Macaca mulatta: one gene and its partner. The main gene of each other region encodes a partner of the protein of the gene in region 2 in a complex. Links are inferred from orthologs where the notes say so. Each region holds a gene or a part of one and is shown on either strand. Other genes may lie near its edges.

Region 1 (3,648 bases), on a different chromosome or scaffold from region 2:
TCATTTTGATATTTTTGCCGTCTATGCCCTGAAAGACGTACAAAATGTCCCTTACCAGAGCTGCTTCTGTAATTTCCATAGTACCTGCAAAATCATTTTTTAAAGAGTAATTACTAGACAATACATTTTAAGATACAACAGATATTATGACACAATTAGCTTCAGATTAGATATATGCCACCCGGATGAAATTTACTAACTCAATAAATAAGTTCAAGATGAAAAAGAGAGTATGAAGTTAGAAAGAAACAAGGTGAGTCTCAGTCTAGAGGCTGGCCTGCTGTGCCACGAACACACAACTGTCCAACACAACATGAGTGTGGGCCGTGGACAGACAGACGCCGGACGCGGGAGCTACACATGGGGACGGGGGAGTGGGGCAGATGGTAGAGACTGCTGCAGGGGACTAAGACTGCCAGGATGTCCTCCGGCTCTCAGATGCTCCTCACCTTCGCATTCTACACAGGTACAGGTACAGGTAACATCCAGAGCCATTTCAGAATCAGCAGATAAGTCAACAGGGAAGCCCAATCCTCTATTTTCAGGACACTCATGTTTCAAACGCTGCTAACTGTAGTGTTCTCAAGAAAGAAACTCAGGCTTCCTTCTGGAATCTAGCAGGGCTTTAAAACCCTCCATGAGGGCCGGGCGCGGTGGCTCACGCCTGTAATCCCTGCACTTTGGGAGGCCGAGGTGGGCGGATCACGAGGTCAGTAGATCGAGACCATCCTGGCTAACACGGTGAAACCCCGTCTCTACTAAAATACAAAAAACTAGCCGGGCGAGGTGGCGGGCGCCTGTAGTCCCAGCTACTCCGGAGGCTGAGGCAGGAGAATGGCGCGAACCCGGGAGGCGGAGCTTGCAGTGAGCCGAGATGGTGCCACTGCACTCCAGCCTGGGCGACAGAGCGAGACTCCGTCTCAGAAAAAATAAAATAAAATAAAAAATAAAACCCTCCATGAGGTATTCATCTCACCATCGAGTAATTCCTCAGGGACTCTCTTCGACATGCCAGGCACTGTGCTAAGCACTGGCCCCATAAATGAAACAGACTTAGCCCCTCTGTGGACTTAACACTTTGGTGGAAGAAGATGACTTTTACTACGGTGCCTAACCCAGCCTTAAAGACTTTCAAACCAGGGAGAATGGCAGGATGAAAACAGACCAGGAGAACTCGATGAGGAACAGCAAAGAAGAGAGATGTGTGGGGAGGAGGCCACATGGACGAGCAGCCAAAAAGCAGACTGTGCTGGGAGGAAGCAGTCCAGGGAGCCTGGGGTGGAAAGCCAGACTCCCCAAGGTGCCGCAGACCACCAGGGACTCTGGACTTCATCATAAGAACAAGAGGCCGGGCGCGGTGGCTCAAGCCTGTAATCCCAGCACTTTGGGAGGCCGAGACGGGCGGATCACAAGGTCAGGAGATTGAGACCATCCTGGCTAACACGGTGAAACCCCGTCTCTACTAAAAATACAAAAAAAAACTAGCCGGGCGAGGTGGCGGGCGCCTGTAGTCCCAGCTACTCGGGAGGCTGAGGCAGGAGAATGGCGTAAACCCGGGAGGCGGAGCTTGCAGTGAGCTGAGATCCAGCCACTGCACTCCAGCCTGGGCGACAGAGCGAGACTCCGTCTCAAAAAAAAAAAAACAAAAAAAAGAACAAGAAAGCACTAAAAGGTTTGAGGTGGGGCTCCTGGGCCGTACTTTAAAATAAGGAAAGGCCGAATTCCAAACGTTCACAGAAAAGCTGTATAAACATAGATCTTTACTCACAACCCGTATCCCCTTCTCTCCTGGACCTTGTCATGTTGCGAGACACAGCATTTGGGACACCTTTTGAGGTAGTGGCTTGTGAAGAAGGCTGATTTGCAGTTAAAGTCCATGCGAGTCGTGACCCCAACTGCTGTCGAAGGCAATCTCCTACTCCCGGAGCTTGATGAGACTGTCTAAAAAAAGAAACTTGTATTATCTTCTAATAGCCAGACTATTCACTGAAGAGACAAAAGTGTCCCCAGAAATTTCTCTTGTATTACTATTGTGAATTATGTAAATTTATAAATCTCAGATAGCTGATACCATGACTTTATCCTAACCGAATATATCAATAACAGACAGTCCCAAGTCCCCTGAACTTGGCCAAGCCTCCCTGGGACCCTTGGCCTAGCGTTCAGACCCGACACAGTGGTTGAAAAATCATCTTACTGCTACCTTACATATGTATTGCTTACCATTAATATCCAAATCTACTTGGCTTTTCTTTATAAACATACACCCACCCTATAACCACTTTGAAATTCTCTACTTATTTTAATTTCAAAATCAACAACTCTTGTTCAGTCCCCATGTACTGAGTAGAATTGAGTCACTGTGACATTGTCCCAGGCGGCTGGCCACACCTGTCTTCAGCCTTCAGGGTGCTCACTATGAAAAGAAACACTGTAATTTTCAATTAACTTCTAACATATACAAACGTATAAAATCTAAGCAGCATATTCAAATGCATATTCAAGGTCAAGATGGCTTGTCAGCAATTTTGAGACTATGTCAAAGTTGTTTTTTGAAAAATGTAAGAACCTCATAGCTGATTTCTAATAGTGTCAGTTTTGACAGATGCAACTAAATATCACTTCCTGGGACTGCAAAACACAAAAATGAGAACCTCAGCTGCACTCGTTTCCAGGTGCCAGAGCTTGGAATTAGTACTGGTGCAGTATTGGGGGGTTCATCCACAATCCACTCATGAAGTAAGGAGAACAGGAAAGACCTAAAACAGTTCTTATTTTACTCCATTTTCACCAGGAAAGAAGTCAACAACATTCACTAAAACTATGTCTTTGGGCATAGTCCTAAATTTAAGAGGACAATTCTAAAAGACTTTCAGTTCAAAGTTCTCTATACAGATTTTTAATAGGATAACAGTAATTAATTTAAATTCTAAGGTATAAATGAGAATGTCAATTGATTCTTTTAGCTGGAATTTAAATTTTAGATTAAATGTGTCAAGTTCTGTTTTTAAACGCTTTGCGTTTTCTTTACACAATGCTAGACTCCCTTAGTAATTCATACGTATAGAACACACATTCTGTTTTTGAGTGTCTTCAACATAATTGTATAAATCACAAAATGATTTAATAATTCTATTACACTTATACGGAAAACACCATTTATTTGATGCTAAATCCTTGGTCACTGTTTTTCTGGAAAAATATCTACTTTATGATAATCTACTTTAATGCGATTTCCAGGAACCAACTATGGCAAAAAGCAAATCCACCTATTTATCTACATATAGGAAGAATGCGTAATTAAAAACAAAGGAAAACAAAGTTCCATCCATGAATAACAACGGCACCTGCTTGATTCTTAGCTGTAAATCCTGTATTTCCTGAAAACGTGCTTTGACCACGTACATAACACCTTCGCTGTGCATTCCTGCATTTCATCATCTTAATTCACATGCACTAAAATGTCACAATCCTTAAAGATCTCAGCACTCGAGGGAAGTTCAACCTTATTTTATTTTACTTAACGATTTATTAAAGAATCCAGTGAGGAGAAAAATGTACATCAATGAAGAGGTCACTATTCCCTAAGAGAAAAACCTGAGCACACAGTCAGAGAACCTCTAGATGAAGGGCTTTGCACAGGGTACT
Region 2 (3,648 bases):
AAACCCAAGAGTTGGTTCTTTGAAAAGCTCAATGAAATCGACAAATTCCCAGCTACATCAGCTAAGATGAAAGAACATTCAAATTACTAAAATCAGAAAAAGTAGGGCTATAACTACCAGCCTCACAGAAATAAAAAGCCGAACTAGAATTCCATGAACTGTGCACCAGACGAGATGCGAGACGAACAGCCGACCAAGAGGAAAGGGACTGAGCAGACCTGTGGCCAGCAAGGGGCCAAGTCCGCCTCAAAAGCCTCCAACAAAGACAAGCCCAGGGCCCAAGGACTCCCAGGCAAACCCTGTCAAACGTCCAAGAATCCACACACTCCTGGGGAGGCAAAGGTGGAAGGATCACTCGAGCCCAGGGGTTCAACCAGCCTGGGCAACATAGTGAGACCCCCGACTCTATCAAAAACAAAAATTAACAAACAGAAAAAAAAAAAAAAAAAAAAAAAACGGCCAGGCGTGGTGGCTGACGCCTGTAATCCCAGCACTTTGGGAGGCCAAAGTGAGTGGATCACCTGAGGTCAGGAGTTCAAGACCAGCCTGCGAAACATGGTGAAACCCCCCCCCTTTTTTTTTTTGAGACGGAGTCTCACTTTGTCGCCCAGGCTGGAGTGCAGTGGCACGATCTCAGCTCACTGCAAGCTCTGTCCCCCGGGTTCACGCCGTTCACCGTGTTAGCCAGGATGGTGTCGATCTCCTGACCTTGTGATCCGCCGGTCTCGGCCTCCCAAAGTGCTGGAATTACAGGCATCCGCCACCACCCCCGGCTGAAACCCCTTCTCTACTAAAAATACAAAAACTAGCTGGGCATGGTGGCGCACACCTGTAATCCCAGCTACTTGTGGGGCTGAGGCAGGAGCATCGCTTGAACCCGGGAGGCGGAGGTTACAGGGAGCTGAGATCGCGCCACTGCACTCCAGCCTGGGTGACAAGAGCGAAACTCTGTCTCAAAAACAACAACAACAACAACAGAAAGACAAAAACAAAAAGAACACCACTCCTGAAACCCTTTCAAAAAGCAGGTGGAGGGACAGGTCCACACTCATTCCACAAGGCCAGCACAACCTGACACCCAGGCTGACAAGGGCACTGCGGGAAAACCCGAGACCTGCGCCCCTCGTGAGCACAGGTGCGAAGACCCCCGATCCCGGCAAGCAGCCCCCACAGCCGAGAGTGAAGGAAACAGACCCCGCGGCTGCCCCACCCGGGCGGGGAGTGGGGGACAGGGCTGGCCTCTGCTGCGCTCTCCTCCCAGCCCCTCCGAGGCCCCTGCCTGAGGTGGCAGCCCCCGGCGCCCCCGCCCACCTTGAGGTCGTCCTTGTAGGGGTCAGTGTTGGCCGTGCTCATGCGCAGGGCCAGCTCCAGCAGCGCCTCCAGGCGGGGGGGCGTGATGTCCTCCACCGGCTTCCGGAGCTCCTCCTCCGCCAGGTCCATGAAGTGCACGAAGAAGTCGCCCTGGTCCATGAGGAAGTAGCGCTTGATGGACCTGCGCCAGGGAGCAGGCGTGAGCACGTCCCACCCGCAGGTGCCCGCCACAGCCAGGGAGCAGGCGTGAGCACGTCCCACCCGCAGGTGCCCGCCACAGCCAGGGAGCAGGCGTGAGCACGTCCCACCCGCAGGTGCCCGCCACAGCCAGGGAGCAGGCGTGAGCACGTCCCACCTGCAGGTGCCCGCCACAGCCATCATGCTAAAACACACCACAACGGGCTAAGCGCTTGGCTCTCGGGCAGGGGCTGTGCGACCACCATGTAGGCTGTGGCAGGAAGAGCCGAGAAAGGGCTGGTGGGCCCTGGGCAAGGAAGGGAGCTGGGGCCCCTGGACAAGGTGACCCGGGGCCTACACCACCGACTGTGCGTGCCAGGTCCTTGAGCTAGAGACCATCTGGCAGTGCCCACTTTCAAAAAGACAAGGCAGAGCTGCCAGAAGAAACCCAGCGATCTCAGCCCCACGTCCCACAGGCTCCGGTTTGAGGGAGGCGAGCGCCCGCACAGGGACAGAGCAGGGAATCACCTGAGGTGTGCCACCAGTTCCTTCTCCTCCATCAGGAAGTCCAGCAGCACCTTGCTGGCATAGTTAAATGCCTTCTCGATCTGCTCCACGTACGCCCGCTCTTTTAACGTGTAGATGATCTCTTTAGCCACCGGGCAGGTGACGTCATGGCCACACTCTCTGACCACATTTAGATATTTTCCTGAAAACAGATAGAAATTAAAAGTTTTATTCTCCACATGGTCGATCTCAGGCCCTAGCTGTCTTCGTCTACACAGGAGGCAGTGGACTGGAAACTGGGCCGCATGAGGCGGCTCCACACCCTTGCTCCCTCCTGGTAAATCACGGTCAGCTGCTACAGACTGAGCGGGTGGCGTCAGGGCTTTGCTGTGGCTCTGCACATCTGGAATTTTCTAACCAAGGGCACAGAAATAATTTCGAAAAGGCATTATGAGAACCAGATGGCTAACCGCTTCCCAACCCTTTCGTGACGGCCCCGATGTGCCGAGTCCAACCCCGCACCGCTGCCCCGGGTCGAGGTCAGGCCCTAACCTGTGTGGTCAGAGACTGAAAACACTGCCGGCCAGCAGGCGCGTGTCTTTGATGGATTTTCCTGTCATGCTAATGGAGTTTTAGAAATCAGAAATGAGAAACAGGGAAGGCACCCGTGAGAGAGCCTTCTAGGGTCAGGGACAAAACAAAGTCCTGGCGATGGAAACCTGATGAAACCTGGCAACAGAGACCATCTCACGGCTTAACTCAGCACTGCAGCCCAGCTCATGGGCCGGTCCTGACCTCGGCCCCACATTCACGGACACCCAGGCTCAGGACGCCCACAGGGTGAGGCGCAGGCTCCCGCGGGAGGGCCTGGGCTGCAGGAGACTCTCCAGGCAGAGCTGTGCTGCGGCCCCGGGCCAGGTCCCCGCTGTGTGCACCGCACCTGTGCTGAGGATCTTGTCCGCCACCTTCTGCAGAAAGGAAGGGATCTGCTGCTGGACGATGGTGTACCGCTGGTCCCAGTACTTGTCATTGTAATCCTCCTGGATCCTCTCCTTCCGCAGCTCGTGCTCCTCGACCATAAACTCACTAAAACCACAGGGAGTGCTTCGGTCACAGGCAAAGCAAGGGCGCCTGTGAGGCAGACGACACACTTCTCCAGGCCGGCAGCGTGGAGGGACCTTAACGGAGGCCAGCATACTTCCAAGTAACGTTCCACAAGGGCCAAGCCTAACCTACCAGTTATTTCTCAACTGTGGGCTAAAACAAACCTAGGGGCCGAGCGCGGTGGCTCACACCTGTAACCCCAGCACTTTGGGAGGCTGTGGTGGGCGGATCACAAAGCCAAGAGATCAAGACCATCCTGGCCAACACAGTGAAACCCCGTCTCTACCAAAATACAAAAAAGCAGCCGGGCGAGGTGGTATGCGACTGTAGTCCCAGTGACTTGGGAGGTTGAGGCAGGGGAATCACTTGAACCTGGGAGGTGGAGGTTGCAGTGAGCCGAGATCACGCCACCACACTCCAGCCTGGCAATGGAGCGAGACTGTCTCAAAAAAAAAAAGAAAAAGAAAAAAAAGAAAACCAAACAAACCTACAAACCTCACTCTGGAACGGAGCATTTAACCTGGGCTCAGGGAGAATGCAGGGTCCGCA

Evidence for each region. The genes of interacting proteins can lie anywhere in the genome.
Region 1: the proteins of TUBGCP2 (region 2) and TUBGCP3 are in contact, whole or in part, in a cryo-EM structure (PDB 8Q62), measured with the Homo sapiens proteins. The link is inferred for Macaca mulatta from reciprocal best matches to the Homo sapiens genes TUBGCP2 and TUBGCP3. Residues at the interface, in NP_006650.1 of Homo sapiens: Gln172, His173, Pro175, Ile176, Phe177, Pro178, Trp180, Arg184, Ala186, Leu187, Ile188, Gly189, Phe191, Leu222, Tyr223, Val226, Val228, Asp229, Gly230, Arg231, Glu278, Ser281, Phe283, Gln287, His290, Ala291, Ala294, Arg297, Val300, Lys301; in NP_006313.1 of Homo sapiens: Glu272, Asn273, Cys274, Ser286, Leu287, Asp289, Thr290, Val292, Arg293, Glu296, Trp299, Ser361, Thr363, Leu364, Arg365, Leu368, Val369, Tyr372, Lys375, Ile376, Lys379, Ala382, Ala383, Asp386, His387, Ala402, Tyr403, Lys405, Thr406, Gly407.

What each region holds. Positions count from the first base shown.
Region 1 is NC_133422.1:106,825,599-106,829,246, forward strand, and holds part of TUBGCP3 (gamma-tubulin complex component 3), read right to left. Parts: intron 1,942-3,648; coding exon 1,769-1,941; intron 85-1,768; coding exon 1-84. UniProt on the Homo sapiens protein: Component of the gamma-tubulin ring complex (gTuRC) which mediates microtubule nucleation.
Region 2 is NC_133414.1:145,386,145-145,389,792, forward strand, and holds part of TUBGCP2 (gamma-tubulin complex component 2), read right to left. Parts: intron 3,082-3,648; coding exon 2,936-3,081; intron 2,198-2,935; coding exon 2,017-2,197; intron 1,493-2,016; coding exon 1,312-1,492; intron 1-1,311. UniProt on the Homo sapiens protein: Component of the gamma-tubulin ring complex (gTuRC) which mediates microtubule nucleation.